3 linked regions of the Oreochromis niloticus genome follow. The protein of the gene in region 1 interacts with the protein of each later gene in a pairwise test. Links are inferred from orthologs where the notes say so. Each region holds a gene or a part of one and is shown on either strand. Other genes may lie near its edges. The genes, in order: kctd1, exosc1 and ntaq1.

Evidence for each region.
Region 2: the proteins of kctd1 (region 1) and exosc1 interact in binary tests that used the Homo sapiens proteins (3 or more experiments, as listed by UniProt). The two-hybrid records come from large-scale screens. The link is inferred for Oreochromis niloticus from reciprocal best matches to the Homo sapiens genes KCTD1 and EXOSC1.
Region 3: the proteins of kctd1 (region 1) and ntaq1 interact in binary tests that used the Homo sapiens proteins (3 or more experiments, as listed by UniProt). The two-hybrid records come from large-scale screens. The link is inferred for Oreochromis niloticus from reciprocal best matches to the Homo sapiens genes KCTD1 and NTAQ1.

Annotation. Positions count from the first base shown.
Region 1 is NC_031982.2:17,122,927-17,129,495, forward strand, and holds the start of kctd1 (BTB/POZ domain-containing protein KCTD1), read right to left. Parts: upstream 4,148-6,569; 5' UTR 3,675-4,147; coding exon 3,438-3,674; intron 2,623-3,437; coding exon 2,444-2,622; intron 1,779-2,443; coding exon 1,634-1,778; intron 480-1,633; coding exon 174-479; intron 1-173. UniProt on the Homo sapiens protein: May repress the transcriptional activity of AP-2 family members, including TFAP2A, TFAP2B and TFAP2C to various extent.
Region 2 is NC_031971.2:31,387,061-31,393,629, reverse strand, and holds the start of exosc1 (exosome complex component CSL4), read left to right. Parts: upstream 1-3,130; 5' UTR 3,131-3,155; coding exon 3,156-3,213; intron 3,214-3,319; exon of another isoform or gene 3,320-3,459; coding exon of another isoform or gene 3,460-3,466; intron 3,467-4,107; coding exon 4,108-4,223; intron 4,224-4,407; coding exon 4,408-4,482; intron 4,483-4,580; coding exon 4,581-4,669; intron 4,670-6,369; coding exon 6,370-6,403; intron 6,404-6,520; coding exon 6,521-6,569. Other genes in the region: pgam1b (phosphoglycerate mutase 1b), read left to right, coding at 1-268, 384-564, 1,283-1,452. UniProt on the Homo sapiens protein: Non-catalytic component of the RNA exosome complex which has 3'->5' exoribonuclease activity and participates in a multitude of cellular RNA processing and degradation events.
Region 3 is NC_031985.2:36,119,765-36,126,333, reverse strand, and holds the start of ntaq1 (protein N-terminal glutamine amidohydrolase), read left to right. Parts: upstream 1-2,664; 5' UTR 2,665-2,758; coding exon 2,759-2,814; intron 2,815-6,569. Other genes in the region: ribosome biogenesis protein bop1, read left to right, coding at 1,364-1,471, 1,569-1,722. UniProt on the Homo sapiens protein: Mediates the side-chain deamidation of N-terminal glutamine residues to glutamate, an important step in N-end rule pathway of protein degradation.

The sequences.
Region 1 (6,569 bases):
AAAGCGCCCATTTTTCTGCAAGGCTGTTCTTGTGATTTGATTAGATTAAAAAAGATTTAAAAAAAACAAAGTCTGCAATCAGAGATCACTAATTTTTTACGACAGAAAAAGGCTAAATGAGCACAACATTACTGCAATCAATTATTATGTTTTCAAGATAGATAGATACAAACCTGGACAGAGTTGAGGTGACAGTACCCGTTCAGTGGGAACCGGATGACGTGTGTGGAGTCGTGGTTCCAGCCGGCATTGACGGAGTTGCACATAACGTCTCCAATCTCTGGAAACACATCTTCGATCAGGGCCTTGTCACCGCTGAGTGTGATCCTCTCGCCCAGGTCGGGTGCAACACGCACCACCAAGCACTCGCAGGGACGGGACACCCGACCTAGCTCCTGGTCCTGGCGCCAGCGCTCCAGCTCAGCAAGCATGGGCTGCAGCTGGAAATATCGTGCTTCCTCATACAGCAAACTGTAGTCCTGTAGGATATAAACGTTGAAGGGTTTTCACATCATTGCATTCCCGAAAAAGAAATGTGAAGTTGTCGGCCTTAACGGTTTACACATTAAAACCATGGTAAATATGGTATATTTTCAAATACGCGTCAAATATGTTGTTCCTGTTGATTATTCTGTTTATATTTCAAAGTATTTTGTAATATTTTCTGTTTTTTTTCCTCCTAGATCGATGCTTAATTGTACAATATTATCTTCTACATGGGTAAACTTGATGCAGAATTCAGAACAATTTGGATACTAGAGAGCAACATAATAAAAGACACAAAAAGCAAAACAGTTAAAAGTTGTCATTTTCTTTCTAAAGCTGAGATATTACAAAGAAAAGAAAAAACAAGGAAGCTTTAAAAGCACTGTTCTACATGAATGAACAATAAACCCTAGTCGAGACACCACTCAGGAAAAATTACAAAAGATCCAAAGTAGAGAAGATACAGGGCGACGTGTAACACAGGGTTGCATGGGGTAGAGGAGCAGATCCTTTACTCACAGCACTGCAGGGCCTAAACTGCACCACATTCCAGTTTTCACATGATCCTCTCAACATCTACTCACTGAGCATATGGCCTTAGCTTGAACTTAGTCTTGTCTTTTGCCTTTGCTTATTTTAACTGACATACTTTTTGCACAGTGGACAGTCCATCTGATAATGTGGTTATTTGTTTTCTCCCAGGGCAAGTTCAGTAATTATTGCTTAAACATTTGAGGGGGGGTGGGGGTTCTTATGTGCCACATACAGTGACAGGCACCTTGGATGGACACTTGGCACAAGAACATAGAGAGCTGCAGAAAAAAAGCATATCGTATGGCCATGGGTGTCAGTATAATTGTTTCAGTACGAGCCTACTGTTTTACTTATGTATTGCAAAAGAATCTTTGCCAGCTCGTAGCTAGAAGGGATCAAACTGCATCTCTTGATGAGGAAATGCTTTGCAATTGGGGTTTGTTTGGTAGAGCCCTGATATTTTCTCTCCAGCATGTGAACCATTTTCAGTAACTCAGGGAGGACCAGTGACCAAAGGCGTTCCACGGCCTTAGCATTCATTGTGTGTGTTAAGTTGTAGGACTGCTGACTGGCTGATGGGAATTTACAGTTTCTAGGATGGGCATCGACTTACTTTGAAGTCGTCGGGGATGAGGAGCTTGGACGTCCTGAGGAAGTTGAGGATGTAGCGGAACATGTGTCCATCCCTGTCAATGAAGTAGTGCTGCTTCAGGCTGTCCAGGACTATAGGCTCTGTGCCATCAAAGAGACGACCAATTCTGCCCGTAAGAGAGAGAGAGGAGGGGTGGTGATTTAGGCAGAAAGGGAGGTAAGGAAGGAAGAAGGAGAACAACATATCAGGATTAAGAATTCTATCCTTTGTTTTTTTTTGTTGTTGTTGTTTTTTTACACTCACAAACAAAAGCTTGTAACAATTTTTAAAGCCTAAACTTGATCTCACTAAATCTATCTTAAAGAAAGAAAGAAAGGTGGTCCGGAGAGGTCAAGACCAGCTGGTGCTTGGTCGCCTGAGGCAGGGAGGCAGTCACCCCCGGGCCTGTGCTCGGAGCGACAGTGTGGCCTCCCAGCCTCCAGATGGCTCCATGCCCTTTGGCTCTTTACTGCTGCTGTGACATCTGTCAGAATAACCAAGTTGCCTTTGTCTGCACTCTGCATTCTGCACTTAAAGCGCTCACAAATTGTTTACCCCTTTAAAATAGCAGAGTTTTACAAAATGTGACATCTGACCATCACGTTACAACAATAACCAATAAACAACAAACTGCGAGGAAATTCTGACAAAAACCATCAGGCTCCAGCAGAAAACATCCCTGGTAAAACACACAATACATGCAAAAATCCTGCCACAAATGGTTATCCCTGACCCTGGATCTTAACCTTCCCCCTCCACTTAAAATACATCTGTATGGCAGGGCAAACTCACCGAGATTCTGGAAATTTTGTTAAGGTGGCCAGACTGCTGGTGTACATGTGCCCACCTACATCGATGTGCACAGGAGCATTGGACTTGGTGAGCTGAGCAGGTGTTGGGATGCCCTGGTTACTCAAGGGAGACACCGGTGACCGTGTGATCATGGGCCTGGACATGCTGGAGCGATTATCCTGAGGGAGCACAAAGGAAATGCATGTAGGAAGACACATTAGATTGCAATCTTCTGCTGCAAATGAAACAGACAATTAAAACAAGTCTGGGGAGGATGGACAAAATTAGTATATTAGGAAAGAAAAAAGAAAGAAAGGCTAATAAGAGACAACAATCTGTGCATTTCTTTAGTCTAATATATTCTGCAGTCAGGAGTGGAGAGGAAGGGTGGGTTTTTTTTCTTGTTACCCTTTTCTGTGCAAGATAGAGCAGCCCGACCTTGACCTGAATGTTGCCACAATCCACAAGCATCCACTCCTGTGGGCCATAATCTCCAAAACCAAATTAATTTGGAGCATCAATCTCAGTCATGAAAATGAGCAATAATGATTCCTGATTTGAATACTATAATAGGATTTGGAGAATAACGTCTCATGATAACCTACAAACACCATTAGGAGACGATTTCTGTTAAGCTCTGAGATGAAAAATGACTTTATACCCGAAAAAGTTTGAGAAGACTGGAGAAAATCTCGAAAGTGTCCTGATCACTAAGGAGTGGGCAGGACATTAGACACATCTTCTTTAAAAAACAAATTAAAAAAAAACGTGAACTCAAGACATACATTTAACAGTAAATTGCACAAGAAGGACTGTCTGACACTATGTGCGCAGTCTACGGTTGAGGGCATCGAGGAGATGATTTGTTTGATTCGGTAAATTAAAAAAAACACAAAACAACCAAAAAACAAAGTGTCCGGCACTTCGCCCCATAAAGTCGAAAGTTAAATCGCTCTCCCCCTCCCCAGACAACACGACACTTTTACGCGTTTACCTGCGCCGGCATCACTGTGGTTGGAGAGGAAGTCACCGAATGGTCATTTTGCTTCAGAGATGCTGCGGGAACGGGCTCTCCTCTGACAGCGAACATCAGCGAGCTCTCCCTGCACTCCGCCGCTCGGATCGGGAGCCGTTTGAGGGAAGCGTGCACGGACTCATCCACGGAACTGATTGGACGCGGTCGCTTTCTCGCCTTCTGATGCGTTAAGTCCATGATATCCGTTTCGTCCATTACGGCTCAGACGTTTAGGGTTAAAGAGATAGGAGAAAGCGGTGAGGCTTTTTTTTTTCACCCTCTCCAACACACCTGCCAAAAATGAAGAGGCGTGAAAAAAAATAGCGAGCACCGGGGGTGAGAGCGAAAGCCGTTGCTGTCACACGGAGCGGCTTCTTTGCAGTGGCTGGGAGAAGTCAAAGCCCCCGACAACATTAGCATTGTAGTGCCCGCGGCTCTTTTGGGCTGTCGCTGTTTCAGTGGCAGGTATGTGTGTCGCATTTTCGCGGAATGAAACAAATCCTGCCTTAGCCTGCAAAATGCGATCGTCTGCTTATAATGCGATTTGGGTTAACACGCCACATCTGGACCTTGAACAGCTGGCCTTTGCCCCCCTTTTCGGAGCAGTGTTTCCACGCGCGACCACTTCCCCCCCACCCTACACGTTGCTGCCCATTGTTCAGCAGCAGTTTTTGTTCAGCCTTCCAACACATCAGTCGAACAAAGTTGAGTCTGTGACAAATCCGAAACAGTGGCCAACCTTCTCAATCACATGGACAAAAAAAGAAAAAAAATACCCCTGCAATAGCCCATTCAAAAAAAAAAAAAACCTTCCCCCACCCATACACACACTTACCAGCCATAAGCACCTGATTGATTGTGAGCTTTCCAGTCACCCAAAAGCAGTCAGGAACATCACTCTTTTATTTTTTAGATGACCAAATGCATTCTGAATATGATGTTTTAACGGAAAAGACTCTTCACTATTTACAGGCTGCAAGATGTTATCAATAACTCAAACGTCCTTGAGGTCAGCAAAGAAACACTGCATGTGAAGTACCAGCTAACACCCCTTCAAGTCAACGGTATGACCCTCAGAGCAGACGCAGACAGCAGCTATAAAACTTCTTCATCTGTTTCTCCCTGGCTCTGTGTCTGACAAGTGTTAGAGCTGCGGTGCGGTGTGGTGTTAACACCACCTCCAGTGACCACATCAGCATTGCAAAGCTACCACACTAATGATATCGTGGAGTATAAAACCAGACCACAACATGTCCAATTGCGGTTAAAAGTACTGCCACAGCACTCTCCTGGGTTGTTTTTTTTTCCCGCAGAAGAAATGTAGGGAATCCACAATTTTTAATAACATTCAGATTAAAATTAATTAGTTCAACCACTGGCCTTAAAACATCCACATTCCTGTTTCTCATTGGCAGTGTGAGTTTCACACCTAGATACCCAATTAGCAATTAAGCTTGCCTTTGAGTGTAGGCCTCCAATGCGGTGTGTGATCCTGGTCTGATTTGCATGCCACTTGTGCACGCGCTGATAAGCGCAGGCAGCAGCCATACATAGTTTTAAAATTCAACTCCAGAATCCCTCGCAGAAGGCAAAGGGGCCTGCGGGGCAAAAGAGAGAGAAATCACATGGCTGCTCTTCAAAAGGGGACCTGTGTAAGGCAGCCGGCAAAGTGCGTGGGATCACACTCAGAATGCAGGTAATTTGTTCCCTGACTAATTTGTGGAGATGGTGGTGTGTGTGTGTGTGTGTGTGAGAGAGCGAGTGAGTGAGAGAAAGTGTGTGCCTGTGGAGAGTAAGTTCTGAAAACAGCTTGGTGGAATTGGATTTCCTCAAAGCCTTGTCATTGCAAAGGTGGATTGAGTGTAAAATCTGTGAGGCATTATGGAAAATTGCAGGGGAGAAAGAAGAGAGAGTGAAAGAGAACGGGTGGTTGGGTGGGTGGGAAGTGGAGGGTTGGGAGCTGGAGGGAGCCAGTTGAGGGAATGAGCTCTCATATCACAAAATCATCCCGAGTTGCTGGAAATACAGACGTGTCGTGAACCTTTCGTCGGACCCGCGTCTACGTCAAATTTGTTGTAGCTCAAAATCGGTTCAAAGGTCACAGCGTCCTCAGAATCCACAAGTACGAATCCTGAGATGTGCCACACGAGCGCTTTTCCTACCTGTTGCCATTTTGAATTTGGCACAGAGGTACAGAAGTCTCCCATGCATGTTAGGATGTTTGCGAAAGAAGTCAAAACGTATGTGTTTAGGGAATCTGTTCGTTTATCCAGCTCGTGTAATTTTGTTGCACCACAGCATGCACAAACAAATCTAAAACAGGCGCAGAGCATCAAAGCCCGGAGCAGTCGAGCTACTCCCTTTTGTTTCTGTTGTTTTTCACCAGTTTTCTTTCAGGCCTTTAATGCAAGACCATCTTTCTTCAAACTTTAAGGAACAAACACCATACAGTAGCTGGGGTTGAATGTTTAAGAAATAGCAGGGTATGTTTTCCACTAATAATTAATCCAAAAACATGGAAAGCAAGGATCTGTCTGCTGTTGTCATAATTGAGGGGCCTTCTGGGGTTCAGCATATGTAACAGACTAACTTTAAGTTGGCCATCCCAGAATGCAACTCTTCACTGTTTCGACATATCTCACAAGATACAATTAGCATTTCAGATCAGAGCATTAACATTCAGTTCAAGGCAGGCAGACTGGTATTTACATAATCTGGATGGGTTGTCTCAGCTTTGTTGCCTGTGGCCATTTGTTTGAAATGTCCATACACAGACAGCTACAAACTCTGGGTTAACATCAGTTGCCGCTAGCTGTATATATAAAATATATATGAAAAAGGTAATGATGAACTGTTATAACAGCATGGTTTGGGTAAAAACTGTAAGCTAGATCAAATACATATCCCACTGGACTTTGTATACTTTGTAAATATAAAGTAACTGCATGCTGCAGCAAAGCTAAAATACTGCATTTCAATAAAACTTTTGTCATTGTCATTATTGTTTTTGCATTCACATCTTTGTCTTTGTCTCCAAACTGACTCCACGTCTTACACTTAACAGTAAAGGGATTATTTGGTATGTTTTGGATGACCTGTGGAAATGTGTTT
Region 2 (6,569 bases), on another chromosome or scaffold:
CTATGAGTTTGACATTTGCTACACATCTGTCCTAAAGAGGGCCATCCGCACTCTGTGGTTTGTCCTGGATAGCATCGACCAGATGTGGCTGCCTGTCCACCGGACCTGGCGCCTCAATGAGCGTCACTATGGTGGTCTGACTGGGCTGAACAAGGCTGAAACAGCAGCCAAACACGGGGAAGCCCAGGTCAAGATCTGGAGGCGTTCTTTTGACATTCCTCCCCCACCTATGGATGAGGGACATGACTACTATCAGACCATAAGCAAGGTATTAAGCAGCTCGGGGAAATTGTGACAAGTTGACTCTTTTCGTTATTGCATCAATGTAACCCTGCGTTGCTGAAACTATTTTGACAACACCGACTTCTTCTTTTTCCCTGTAGGACCGACGTTATGCTGACCTGACAGAGGACCAGCTCCCTAGCTGTGAGAGTCTTAAGGACACCATTGCTCGGGCACTTCCTTTCTGGAATGAAGAGATTGTTCCACAGATCAAGGAAGGAAAGAGGGTGTTGATTGCTGCCCATGGCAACAGTCTCCGCGGCATTGTCAAGCACCTGGAGGGTAAGGAAAAGAGAAACTTGTGAAACATTTCTCAGCACTAAAAACACCTTTCAGTGTTATTTCACTTACTATGAGTCAACAATGAATTGGGGTACCTGCTAAACCTTCATAAAGGCCTATGAACTTGATATCATCCATTTGGGTTTTAGGGAAGTCAGAAATTATCTTATAGACAAGAGCGTAGAGTGCTAAGTTATTAGCTGTTGCAGTGGCTTAACTAGCAGATAGTTATTGGTCTAGGTGGCCACCGCATGTGAATTAATGTGACTACATTCCTAGTAGTGCAAACTAGTGCAAACTTATGACTGTGATAACTTTAGAGTTACACAATGTTGGTTTTTGAAATTATACCATAGAGGCATCTACTAAAAATCTCAGGCAAGTTTGAGTCCTGGTAACCTTGACCTCAAGGTCAAGGTCACCAGGACCTTGACCTTGAGTTTGAATCTGTGACCTTGAACTCAAAGTCAAGGTCATAGGTCACATTTTATACTATTTCTGTATCTACTAGCAGGCTGAGGGATAGGCAGTATTATCTGTTCCAAGCAGGTTTATTTTAGTTCTTAAGTTGTGAATTTTAACATAAGAGTTTAACAATCATGCGTTTGTCATACAAAGCTACCATCTGCTGTCAAACATTTTAACGCGGTCTAAAGCAGCAGCAGCAGCTACATGCAAATGAATTACAGCTCTGTGTCTGTCATTTTTTTTTTCATAGGTATGTCAGAGGAGGCCATCATGGAGCTGAACCTGCCCACAGGCATCCCCATCGTGTATGAGCTGGACAAGAACCTGAAGCCTATTGGGCCCATGCAGTTCCTGGGAGATGAGGAGACTGTAAAGAAAGCCATGGAAGCTGTGGCTGCTCAGGGCAAAGCCAAGAAATAGACTTGTCCTTCCTTTGGGAGTAAAGAATCATCATCTGCTTTTTTTTTTTTTTTTTTTTTTTTCTTTCCCCATCAAGTTGTGAAAGGGTCATTTACTGTTTGTGTCATCACAGACTTGAGGACAGGTAGACACAGAATGTGCACTTTATCTTAATACCACCCATTTTTCACAAAAATGTACAATCTGATGTTTAATTTGACTGCTCTTTACTTTGTTACATACTGAAACATGCATTTCATTATTAGACTGTGGATATCAGTTGTAATGTGGTTTAAGCACTGACCAAATATAAATTAGGGACCAGCAAACAGACTACCCCAGCAGAGTTCCAAGTATTCTTTCCAATTTACAATCCATGTAGATGAAGCGCAGCGGAAGCAGGAAAAACCAAAAGTTACACTGGCTTTGTTAAAGAGAGAGCAGATTTGCTCTAGACTGCTGAATATTGTTTGCTGTGGCATTGTGCTTAAAAATGAATAAATGTTGTGAGTCATTATGCAGTGTACTGTGTGTGATGTCTTTTTTTTTTTTTTCCAGGACAACTGCACTTTTTTTTTATATGGTAATTGAGAAATTTGTCTCAGTAAAAGGCAAATATTGAAATGCACTTTATCCAGTTCCCTCACTAAGTAAATGCGATTGGCAGAAATTAAAAGTTTGTTGTAATTAATTATGTGACAGTCCCTGTTTCTCCCTTTTCTGTCACAGTAACTGCTACTTCAGCAGCTGTTCTGTTGGTTAAACATATTTGTATTTCTTATATGCATCCATAGATTAGCACATTTCACAGGAGGCTCAGATACTTAGTTTTGTAAACTGCAACCAATCCAAAATATGAGAGAGTGTTTTAGTTTGTGGGATGGGGGCAAGTCTTTTTTTTTATTTTCTCGAAGGTTTGAGATGCACCGTAACAGGACTATGATAAACATGATTATTTTGAAAAAATGGCTGCTCGGTGGCAATTTTCCGATTATATGATTCTTTTAAAACCATGCTCAGAGAAACAGATTTTGAATAAAAGCATCGACAATTTAATTTACATTGTAGGGAAGTAATAAACCTAGGAAATCCCAATACTGGAAGTAGCTAACTTTCATAGCAGAGGTGGGTAGATTGATACCAATATCAATAGTATCAATAAGAATGCTGGTACTGGTGTCCGATACTTTAGCATCAGATTGCTACCAAATTTTGCAGTATCTCGCAGCAGTATTTCATAATTATCTGACCATATATGACTTATTCAATCATATAGTAATGCACACATGGCACGTACCCGCCCATGTGTGGCTCAGCAATCATGGCGGATCAACGCATTTTGTTCCGCTGACGCTGAATGACACTGACCAATCAGAATCTTTCTGTGCCCTTAGTCCTAACCAATAGGCTGCCTACGTACGCCTCTCGAAAACATGTCGCCGATGAAGCTGTGCGTTCCCGGTGAGTCCAGTAAATTCGTCTCTAAAAGCGCTTAAAAACTAAATATACCAGTGTGTAGATTGTATGTTGGGATATGTAGACAGCTTTAACAGCTTTAGAGTCATTTTCTATTAGAAAAGGAAGTTAAACTGCATTCTGAGCGTGTGAAACCCTGGTGATTATTTCCAGCTGCCATGCGTGGAGTGGGCTTTGGCTTCCCGTACTTGTAAGGCTGTAGTAACTTATTTTACAATCAATCACATGTTGGATCAGCTGACTGTCAGATGGAGTCGGGGTTTTCAGGCCTACCGTATCATGGTCTTTTACTGTATTTGCAGGGCTGTGAGTTACTGACTTTGGCTTTCCACGGCTGATGAGATCCGATCCTCAGCCCTGCCCATCTCCTCGGGCAAGATAACGCATTCCTGAGCTTTGTTTTGTCACACCCGTGGGAAAGCCGCAGGTCTATCCGGCGCATGGCAGTAGTGAACCTTAAATGAGTTGTCTGCAGGAGTAACATTTAACTTCATTCTAATTACGGGTGAAAGAGCACAAAGTAGCAAGATAATTAATTGTAGTGCAAGAAAAATGAAGGGTAGTATTGTGTCACATGACATAAATTATGTTTTGTGTTTTAATCTTCTTGTCCATGATGTGTTTTGTGCTTAAGGTTTGCAGATACACTGTTAGTCCCACAATGCTGTTACATCAAAGTATCCTCAGTTAGTCTCTCAGTTTCAGTTAGCAGATGATAACCAAAATAAGGGAAACTATTATTATTATTATTTTTATTATTCTTTAGTTATATATTATATAGTCTACGTTCACCATTGTAACAAAATATTCTGTTACAATGGTGGATGCTTATATTAAACATGGGCAACGTTTTAAATAATGATATGTACAGATCATCCCTGTAAGCCAGTAGCTCAGGCTTCAGACTCTACTGAATGCTAAGTTTCGTTTTTTTTTTCTACTTTTGGATCTTTGTTATGTCCTCAAGAGAGGGAGGATGTTCAATTTGTCTGTTTGTGAAGGGAAGTCAGTCAGATAAAGATGGTTGATGGAGATGTGAAACGGCTGGGTTCAGACATGGAGCAAAGCCCAGTATAAGATAAAGATTATTTTTGGTGATGACTCATGCAAAGATGTTTTTATTTTAATTCTTTTTTTAGAAGGAACAGTGCATCTCCAGAACCCAAACACTAACACATCTGTGTCTTTTTTTATACTTAGGTGACAAACTATGCAGCTCAGAAGACTGTATTCCTGGCACAGGAGTATACCTGCGACATGGCTACATATACTCGTCACTAGCAGGCTATGTGCTCAGGAAGAATGAGGGAGAGGAGGTGAGGGGTGTGGGTAAGACAGGGGAGGGGAAAGTTTGTTCAGCAGTGAGACAAGTACAAATGCCAGACTAAAGGTATTTTTGCAATGTCTTTTGATGTGAGTAAGCGAACTAGTTTTGTAATTGTCTAAGGTGATATTCACATCATATGGATAACTTCTACTGGGATTATTTTGTCTCCTTAGTTACCAGTGATTTCAGTTGTGAGGGAAACAGAAACACAACTGCTGCCAGATGTAGGAGCAATAGTCACCTGTAAGGTATGCAATAGAATAAGAAACTGTTACTATCGCTGCATGTTCTGAGTAAATAATCTTGCACAGTTTACAATCTGTTTTATTTATTTTTCATTTAACAGGTAACCAGCATCAATCCCAGATTTGCCAAAGTCCACATCCTTTATGTAGGATCCACCCCACTGAAGGACCGCTTTAGAGGCACGATCAGGTAACCACAAAATTTGAGCCAGTTTTTGTCTAATATTTTATTGTAGACTGTTCAGTTTTATTTATACAGCATCAAATCACAATAACAATTGCTTCAAGGCACTTTATATTGTAAGGTAAAGACCCTACAATAACACAAAGAAAACAGAGAAAACCCCAACAATCATATGATCCCCTATGAGCAAGCACTTTGGCGATAGTGGGAAAGAAAAACTCCCCTTTAACAGGAAGAAACCTACAGCAAAAACAGGCTCAGGAAGGGTGGCCAATAAGATAAGATGAGGACTGATTATTCAAGACCTTGTATGTGAGGAGCAGGATTTTCAATTCAATTCTGGATTTAACAGGGAGCCAATAAAGAGAAGCCAATATACGAGAAATATGCTCTCTTTCTAGTCCCTGTCAGTACTCTCGCTGCAGCATTTTGGATTAGCTGAAGGCTTTTCAGGGAGGTTTTAGGACATCCTGATAATAACGAATTATAGTAGTCCAGCCTAGAAGTAATAAATACATGAACTAGTTTTTCAGCGTTAGTCTGAGACAGGATCTTTCTCATTTTGGAAATGGAAGAAAGGCGTCTTACATTTTTGTTTAATATGTGCATTAAAGGACATCCTGGTCAAAAATCAATCCAAGACTCCTCACAGTGTTACTGGAGGCCACGGTAATGCTATCCGGAGTAAGCATCTGTTAGACACTGCATTTCAAAGATTGTTAGGACCGAGTACATTAATCCCAGTTTTATCTGAATTTAGAAACAGAAAATTAGAGGTCATCCAGGTTTGTATGTCTTTAAGACATTCTTGTAGTTTAACAAATTGTTGTGTGTTATCTGGCTTCATAGATAAATGAATGAATAGATAAAGTTTAGTGTTATCTGCATAACGTGAAAATAAGTGAAAATGTATGCTATGTCTTCTAATGGTACTGCCTATGGGAAGCAAGTATAATGTAAACAGAATTCTAGAATGGAACCCTGTGGAACTCCATAGTTAACCTTCCTATCTGAAGAGGACTCATAAGAAGCTCATTTGTAACCTTCACTGAAGCTGATTCTGTAAAGAAACTGTTAGAAATAGCAGGTGAAGTAAGAATGAAGAAGCCTTTTTAAAGTTGCTGCTATCCTATGATTGGAACTAAACATAAAAATAGTAATTACTGCATCCAGATTTTAAGATGAATTCAAAAACATATTTTTTTATTGTTTTTTTTTTCAAAATAAAAATTAATCTAATTGTAATTCTCAGCAGTACTTCCCCAGCTAGTCTTTTTCCAACTCAAACTGATAAGTTGATTTAAAAACAACGAAATAAACTCATTAAAGTCTCTACTTAAACTCCATATATGCATGCCAAACCTTCAGACTGCTAATCGTGTGAGATGGGCCTGAGGCAGCCAAAAGCAAGACCTGTTTTGAGGAGGTGGTTGTAGAAAATGAAGGTGGAGCAGCAGCATTGACAGCATTGCTAGACTCAGAATCAGCGCTAGGGTTGCTACGGGTTTCAAAATATTATACTGTCGAGCAAGTTTTAAAAGTAATTTTAACAGAAGTATTTTCTTTCATTTTGCTTTGCTGAGCGAGATGCTCATAGCCACCACCATACAGATCTAACTCCAGTGTGAGGCGGTGTTTTGTGGACATAATATGGATATGCACAAAATTCTGGCCTAAACACAAACTCACTCTCTGTTTCTCTACAGAAAAGAAGATGTGCGTGCAACAGAGAAAGACAAGGTCTGTTTGATTTCCTGTTTTCCACTCACACCTTTCATTAGTTTCTTCTGCATATAATAATTTTTATTAAAATAAGGTGACATGTTTATTGGTAACCATTTTTCTTCCTGGTTACAGGTAGAGACATACAAAAGCTTCAGACCCGGTGACATCGTCTTGGCAAAAG
Region 3 (6,569 bases), on another chromosome or scaffold:
CAGAAAAAGTACAGGCTCTGAAAACTATCTCCTTAAAGAACATTTCTACCACCTATTTTTCTGCAAAGCTAAATAAACCTTCTGCTATATTAATGCAGTAGATGAGAATACAAATTTCATGTTAGTCTCGATGATAATAAATGCGCTCAGCTTGAATCAGTTAAGTAGAACATAAGCAGAGGAACAAGAAGGGGAAAATGGCTCTATTTTCTGTTGTCTACATTGTAGAATGTGACTTTGTCTCTAAACAGAAAATGAGTAAGGAAGAGATTAAAGTGGGAGGCACATAGAAATGCCCAAGTTAGAGAACAACTTGAAAAGTGCTTCAAAGTAGTGCAAAGAAAAAGACTGAATAGAGTCCATGTGTGAGTGGCCTGAGTGATGGGGGTTACTCAGACCATAGCTCACATTGGTGAGGTGGGTGGTTAAAGGCTTGTTGCAGTAGTTCAGTGTGAGGAAAACAATCACAGTTCACAATCATTTCTGTTGAAAGCTCCAGTACATTTTCTTAGTCCACAGGCTGTGATCAGCTGATCTGGGCTACTGCTGCTGCCCTGAGGTTTACTGCTCTTTACACACCTGAATTTAACAAGTGTTTTGTGAGTTTGAGTTGTCCTGGGTAATTGCCATCCTTCACACTGACAGTGCACTGTTTAACCTGTCTATCCTGCACTAACCTACAGAGTGTTTTCATGCAACCTCAGTTTGTTTTAAAGAACGTTTCACTATATGAAAATCACAATGTCACATGTATAGACCTAAGCACTCAGCTGGCAGATGATACTACAGTTTTCCTCAAAAGGTCAGAACAAATCCCTCTTGTCATCAACAAAATCCACATATTTTCTGAGGTGTCTGGGTTACCTTTAAACCTAAGAAAAGTGTGAATTACTCTCTATTCTGAACTGCCATGTAGTTTATTTGTATGGTATCCCGGTTTTAAAATGATTATAGCTCTTTATTTTATAATGCTCCCTCTTGTGTTCAGCTTGTATTTTTCACATTTTATACATTGCTGCCAACAGAATTTTGCATAGCCAGAGCTGAATTGTACATAAAGCAGCATTGTTTAAATGAAAGAAAGAAAGAAAGAAAGAAAGAAAGAAGAAGAAAAAAAAAAAAAAGATCTGCAGTGCCTTCACAGCCTAGCAGGTGCAGGAGTTTAGGAAATATAAGATTTCAGTCAGACCTGCACCAGGAAGGTGAGGATGTATGTTGTATGTGGAAGTGTGTTTACTCAATCAGGGCACTGATATTGGTGTATCATTGATTGTAGAATACTACATATTGATCAGATGTGGGGTTTTTTTTGGTTTTTTTTTTAATCATTTATCATGTGATATGGATCACCTTCTTTCTACAGACACCATAAGAAAGCAGTGAGGGGTGTGGCCTATCACAGACTGTACCCGCTGTTTGCCTCGGCGTCCGATGATGGCTCAGTGATCGTCTGTCATGGGACTGTTTACAAGTAAAACACACACACACACACACACACACACACACGCGCACTTATTTTTCCTCCTCTCAGTTGCACTCTAACCCCACCCTCCTTGCTACCCCCACAGTGACCTGTTGCAGAATCCACTCATCGTCCCAGTGAAAGTCCTCAGAGGTCATGTGATGACTCATGATCTCGGTGTTCTGGATGTGACCTTTCACCCCACGCAACCCTGGGTCTTCTCCTCTGGCGCCGATGCTACTATCCGCCTCTTCACATAGCAACGTGCTTAGCAACCACAGATGCCGTTTTCCTAATGTTTTTACTTTCAGACACAATGTTCTTGCCTCACTGTTTTCCTTGCTGTGATGTCAGTTCCTTTTTGAATAAACTGAACTGTTTTTGAGTGTGTGTGTGTCTGCTGTCAGTCTGGTGAAAGGAGCTGACATTGATCAGCAGTGTGACATCCCTTTCCTGTCTAGGGCCATTAAAGATGAATAAAAACATGCCTAATTGGCTGTTTGTGGGTGATCGATCAGGTCTAAGATGTTAAGTTCAGATATCATGGCAGCCATCTTTACAGAGTTAGCTGAGGAGCCTGGACCCCCTGTCAAGCCCGCCCATTTCACCAGTTATTCTGGTTTTCGATTTGCTCGTTAGTTTGTTTTAAATTAGTTTCTGGAGTGATGATCCAGATCTGTCTGGGTTTTATTTATATTTCAGTGAAAAAATTTCATTCATATAATTTTTAGTTAACCGTATAATCAATTTGACATGAACAGATTTGTTCAGTTAAATGTATAAATTAAGTATTTTATCTCAAATCTAATAAAACTTGTGAAATTTGCAGTGCAGATGTTTACAAAAATAAAAATTCCTTAGAGATTTGACAAGTCTTCAAAAAAAAAAAAAAGCCGAAATGTTTTATTACAAAAATACATTTTTGAGTTTGTATTTCAATTATTTTCTGATGATTTATGGTGCTGAGCAGAAGGAGTTGAGTGATGGGAGACTGTATACTGCTAAAGTTTAGTTATTCTCTGAAAATCTAAGCTAGCTAACAGGTTCAGAGGTCAGTTTGTTTCTCTTATGGTACTTTGCTATAAACGATGTTCTCCTTTCATGAAGGATGCTTCAGCGTCACAAATAAAGGAGGTAACTAAGGGAGCACTGAAGCTCATTTCTTGTGGCGGCAGCGAAGTTAAATTAGCAGTTGGACCCCAGTTTGTCGATGCTTTTAATTTGAAAGTCCACTTTCCTTAGCGGATTTGGTGTCAGTCCGTTTCCCTTGGAGCTCTTTCAGTGTAACACCCGATCATGAATCGGAGACTCGTTCCGATGCGCGAGGACTGCGTGTACACGAGCTGCTACTGGTGAGTCCCGACATACCTCCCAGAGGTGACCGTGCAGGCTCTGTGTCAGAACATTACCTGACGTTACTTGGCTCCTGAGAATTATAAACACACGCCTTGTCAAAGGAGCTGCAACCACTATGATTGGCCAGTTCAGATTTCCGTTTTCCTTTTAGCGCAGTTTTTTTTTGTTTTTTTTTTAAAAAATTTGTCAGTATAAGAATAAAAATCACAATATCATTGTAAGGAATAATCCTCCCAGACAGCGGACGCGGCTTGCGCTCCGCTCACCGCTAACTAGAGGGAAGGACCTACGTGTTGCGCTGGCTGGCCTCTGCGCTCTGCTGGTACGTCCTTTATTGCGGCCGCCCTACGTGTACTAGATGCGCCTGCTCCTAGTCTTTTCAAAACATGTATCTCTCTGACTTTATGTCCATATGAACATAATACAAGACAAACGTCACAATGCTGTTCACTAGACAGCAAGAGTCAACGATCTGGAAAATCTTGTCTTCGTTATCATTCCCCTCATACATTTTATTACACAGATTTCAAGCGTGCAGTTTACTTTGTGTCGCGTCAACTGTATGGGCTCAAAATGTGGTCATAAATATTTTGTACTTGTAAATCAGTTTTGTACTTGTAAATCAGGATTTGTATGTGTAAAAAGAATTTGTGCGTGCGTAAAAAAGATTTGTATGTGTAAAAAAGATTTGTGTGTGTGTAAAAAAGATTTGTATGTGTAAAAAGAATTTGTGCGTGCGTAAAAAAGATTTGTATGTGTAAAAAAGATTTGTATGTGTAAAAAGAATTTGTGCGTGCGTAAAAAAGATTTGTATGTGTAAAAAAGATTTGTGTGTGGACTCAGCCAAAAAACCCCCTGCAAGTTACAAGTACGAATTTTGACCCTATTTTTCTTCCTGTCATCTGATTGGTCAATGTCATGCCAATCACAAATGTAACAATCCAATCAGAGAACAGATGGGTTTGGCTGTCGGAGGGGCACTTTTTTGAACTGCAGGTCCTTGAAGGGTAATACAGTTTGAAGCTGGAGGATCTCTATATAAATATCCGATAGCAGCTAGGTCCCCTTACTTTCAGCAGCTGTTGAAAGGATAAAGTTGTGGTATGTCAGTGGTTAGAAATACCATTATTACTTTAGGATTAGTTTAACACAAAGTCAGGGCTGACCCGGGACCATTGCTGTGAGTCACAGTGCGCAGCATAAAGGTCCTTTCACATCGGACGCAGGATGTGCTGCTAATGCTAACTGCTAACTAAAAGCAAAGGATCCAGAATTTGTTGCGCTGGCTGCTGAGCTCTGTGGGTTTTTGCAGCAGCTCTACCTGTACTAGATGCACCTGCTCCTTGTCGTTTCTATCTCTGACTTTATGTCCTCTACCACAGTTTCTGGTTTTTTTGCTAGTTCTTCAAATGTTCAATAAAAACATGTATGCTAATTCATAACGAAGAAAGCTTTGTAATGAAGACTGTCATTTCCAAAACACTGCCCCCCCCCCCCCCCCCCCCCCCCGGTCCGCAGCGCTGTTGAAAAGGCTGTGGAAGTCCCTGTATTAAGCACGTAGACCTGTGACACAAAAATCACCAAACTCGGACGACCACAGACTGTTTTCCTTCGTGGTGATGAAGGAAAACGCTGGGTTGGCATATAAAAGGGCATTTATTCCCTTCAAGGACCTGCAGTTCAAAAAAGTGCCCCTCCGACAGCCAAACCCATCTGTTCTCTGATTGGATTGTTACATTTGTGATTGACATGACATTGACCAATCAGATGACAGGAAGAAAAATAGGGTCCAAATTCATACTTGTAACTTGCAGGGGGGGTTTTGGCTAAGTCCACACACAAATCTTTTTTACACATACAAATCTTTTTTATGCACGCACAAATTCTTTTTACACATACAAATCCTGATTTACAAGTACAAAACTGATTTACAAGTACAAAATATTTATGACCACATTTTGAGCCCATACAACCAGAGGTGGGACCAAGTCATTGTTTTGCAAGTCTCAAGTAAGTCCCAAGTCTTTATCCTCAAGTCACAAGTCAAGTCTCAAGTAAAGTCAAGCAAGTCAGAGTCAAGTCGCAAGTCAAGACAGACAACTTTCAAGTCAAGTCCCAAGTCCGAAACTTTGAATTTCAAGTCCTTTCAAGTCTTTTTTTTTTAACCCTCTGGGGTCCCGGGTATAATTGGCCGTTCTTGACTACTTTTGATTTTACTTCTATATTTCACTTTTAAAATATGTTTTTCTTGCCTTGTTTGGTATCATTATTTACAGCACAACCTCAAATATCTGAAATTTGAGTTATTTTTTTCATTTTGGTATACTATATTAGCACAGTTGATCTAAATTCAGACAAAAAATTCAGAATCCGAGTAGAAAAAAGTTATATTTTTTTACATGTTTAACGAATCATTTTCATAACTTGAAATGCAAATAGAAATTGTACATTTCTAAAAATTATGCACAAGTTTTGCAAACAACAAAGTTATATGGTACTATTTACCTAAAAATGCAGCCAAGGCCTCAGGCGTTTTTTATATAACCATTTAAATCTATTTACAGAACAATCAGGTGTGCTGCATCAAATAAGAAGGCACACAAATTATTTGTGCCAGTCCAAAAAATGTAGTTTGTGTTCAGTATAAGACAGAGGAGAACACCACAGGCCTAAACCCTGCAGGTCTGACAACTGGAGGTGCAACAGTCCAGTTTTCTATGTGGAGACAGCGTTTACACTGGAATCTGCCTTTGACAGCTTTTTTAGATCAAATATGAAATTCAGCAGTCTAACCGACACACAATACAAAACAATAACTATACAACAAACTAACTATAGCCTCCAAACACGCTAAACGTCACTAATGTCTCACATATGAAAACTCTCTCTCTCTCTTTCTTTCGCTCGCCCGCTTTCCGTCACGGGTGTCACTCCTAAAAACTTCCCCTTCTCCCTAAACAACCAAATGTCACATGTTGCCTTATCATTTTTTTGATTGGCTGACATGGTAAACTCTAACACCAATAGGGAAGGGGTGTTTTTTCTTTTTCTGTTTTCACTCGCAAGTGGAGAGCGTATGCTAGGCTGTCTGTAGAAAACGCCGTTTTTGTCTAGCATCCCTGTTGAGAATAACCTTTGCAAATAAACAACAGCTAATAATATAAGATCAAAGTATTTTATTTGATGTATTGACATAAATGACAGAAGAAAAAGGCCATGTATAGCAGGACTACTCAATTACACACTAAGGTGGGCCAGATTTTCTAACCCAAAAAAATTTTTTCCCTGGCTCAGACATGCAAAAGTTAAACACGACCATACACTAATTGCAAATTAAACAGTGATTTTGAATTGTGATGTGATGGTAAAATAAATATTTGTCCGTCTAAACTGGGTTAAATCTACGGGGTTAATGATGGGGAGGAGACGGAGAGAGACTGAGTACAGCTACAGAACCCACTTTCTGAAACGGACCCTGCTCACCATTCACCGACAATTCTGAGCTAACAAGTTGCATGTTATTCTTGGATGCGCTTGCAGGACCGGATTTAAAATAGCATGACAAACATATCATACCTGTTAAAGCCAAACAGTATCATCAACGTAGCCCGAAGAACATTTGCTAATAAGATGAAGTTAGCTAAGTCAGCTATTTCATCGTAGCAAAAAAAAAGCAAAAAAAAAAAAGCACCACCTACCGTTCTTTATGCAACTTCAAATGTCGGACAAAGTTGGAAGTTGTTCCATCTCC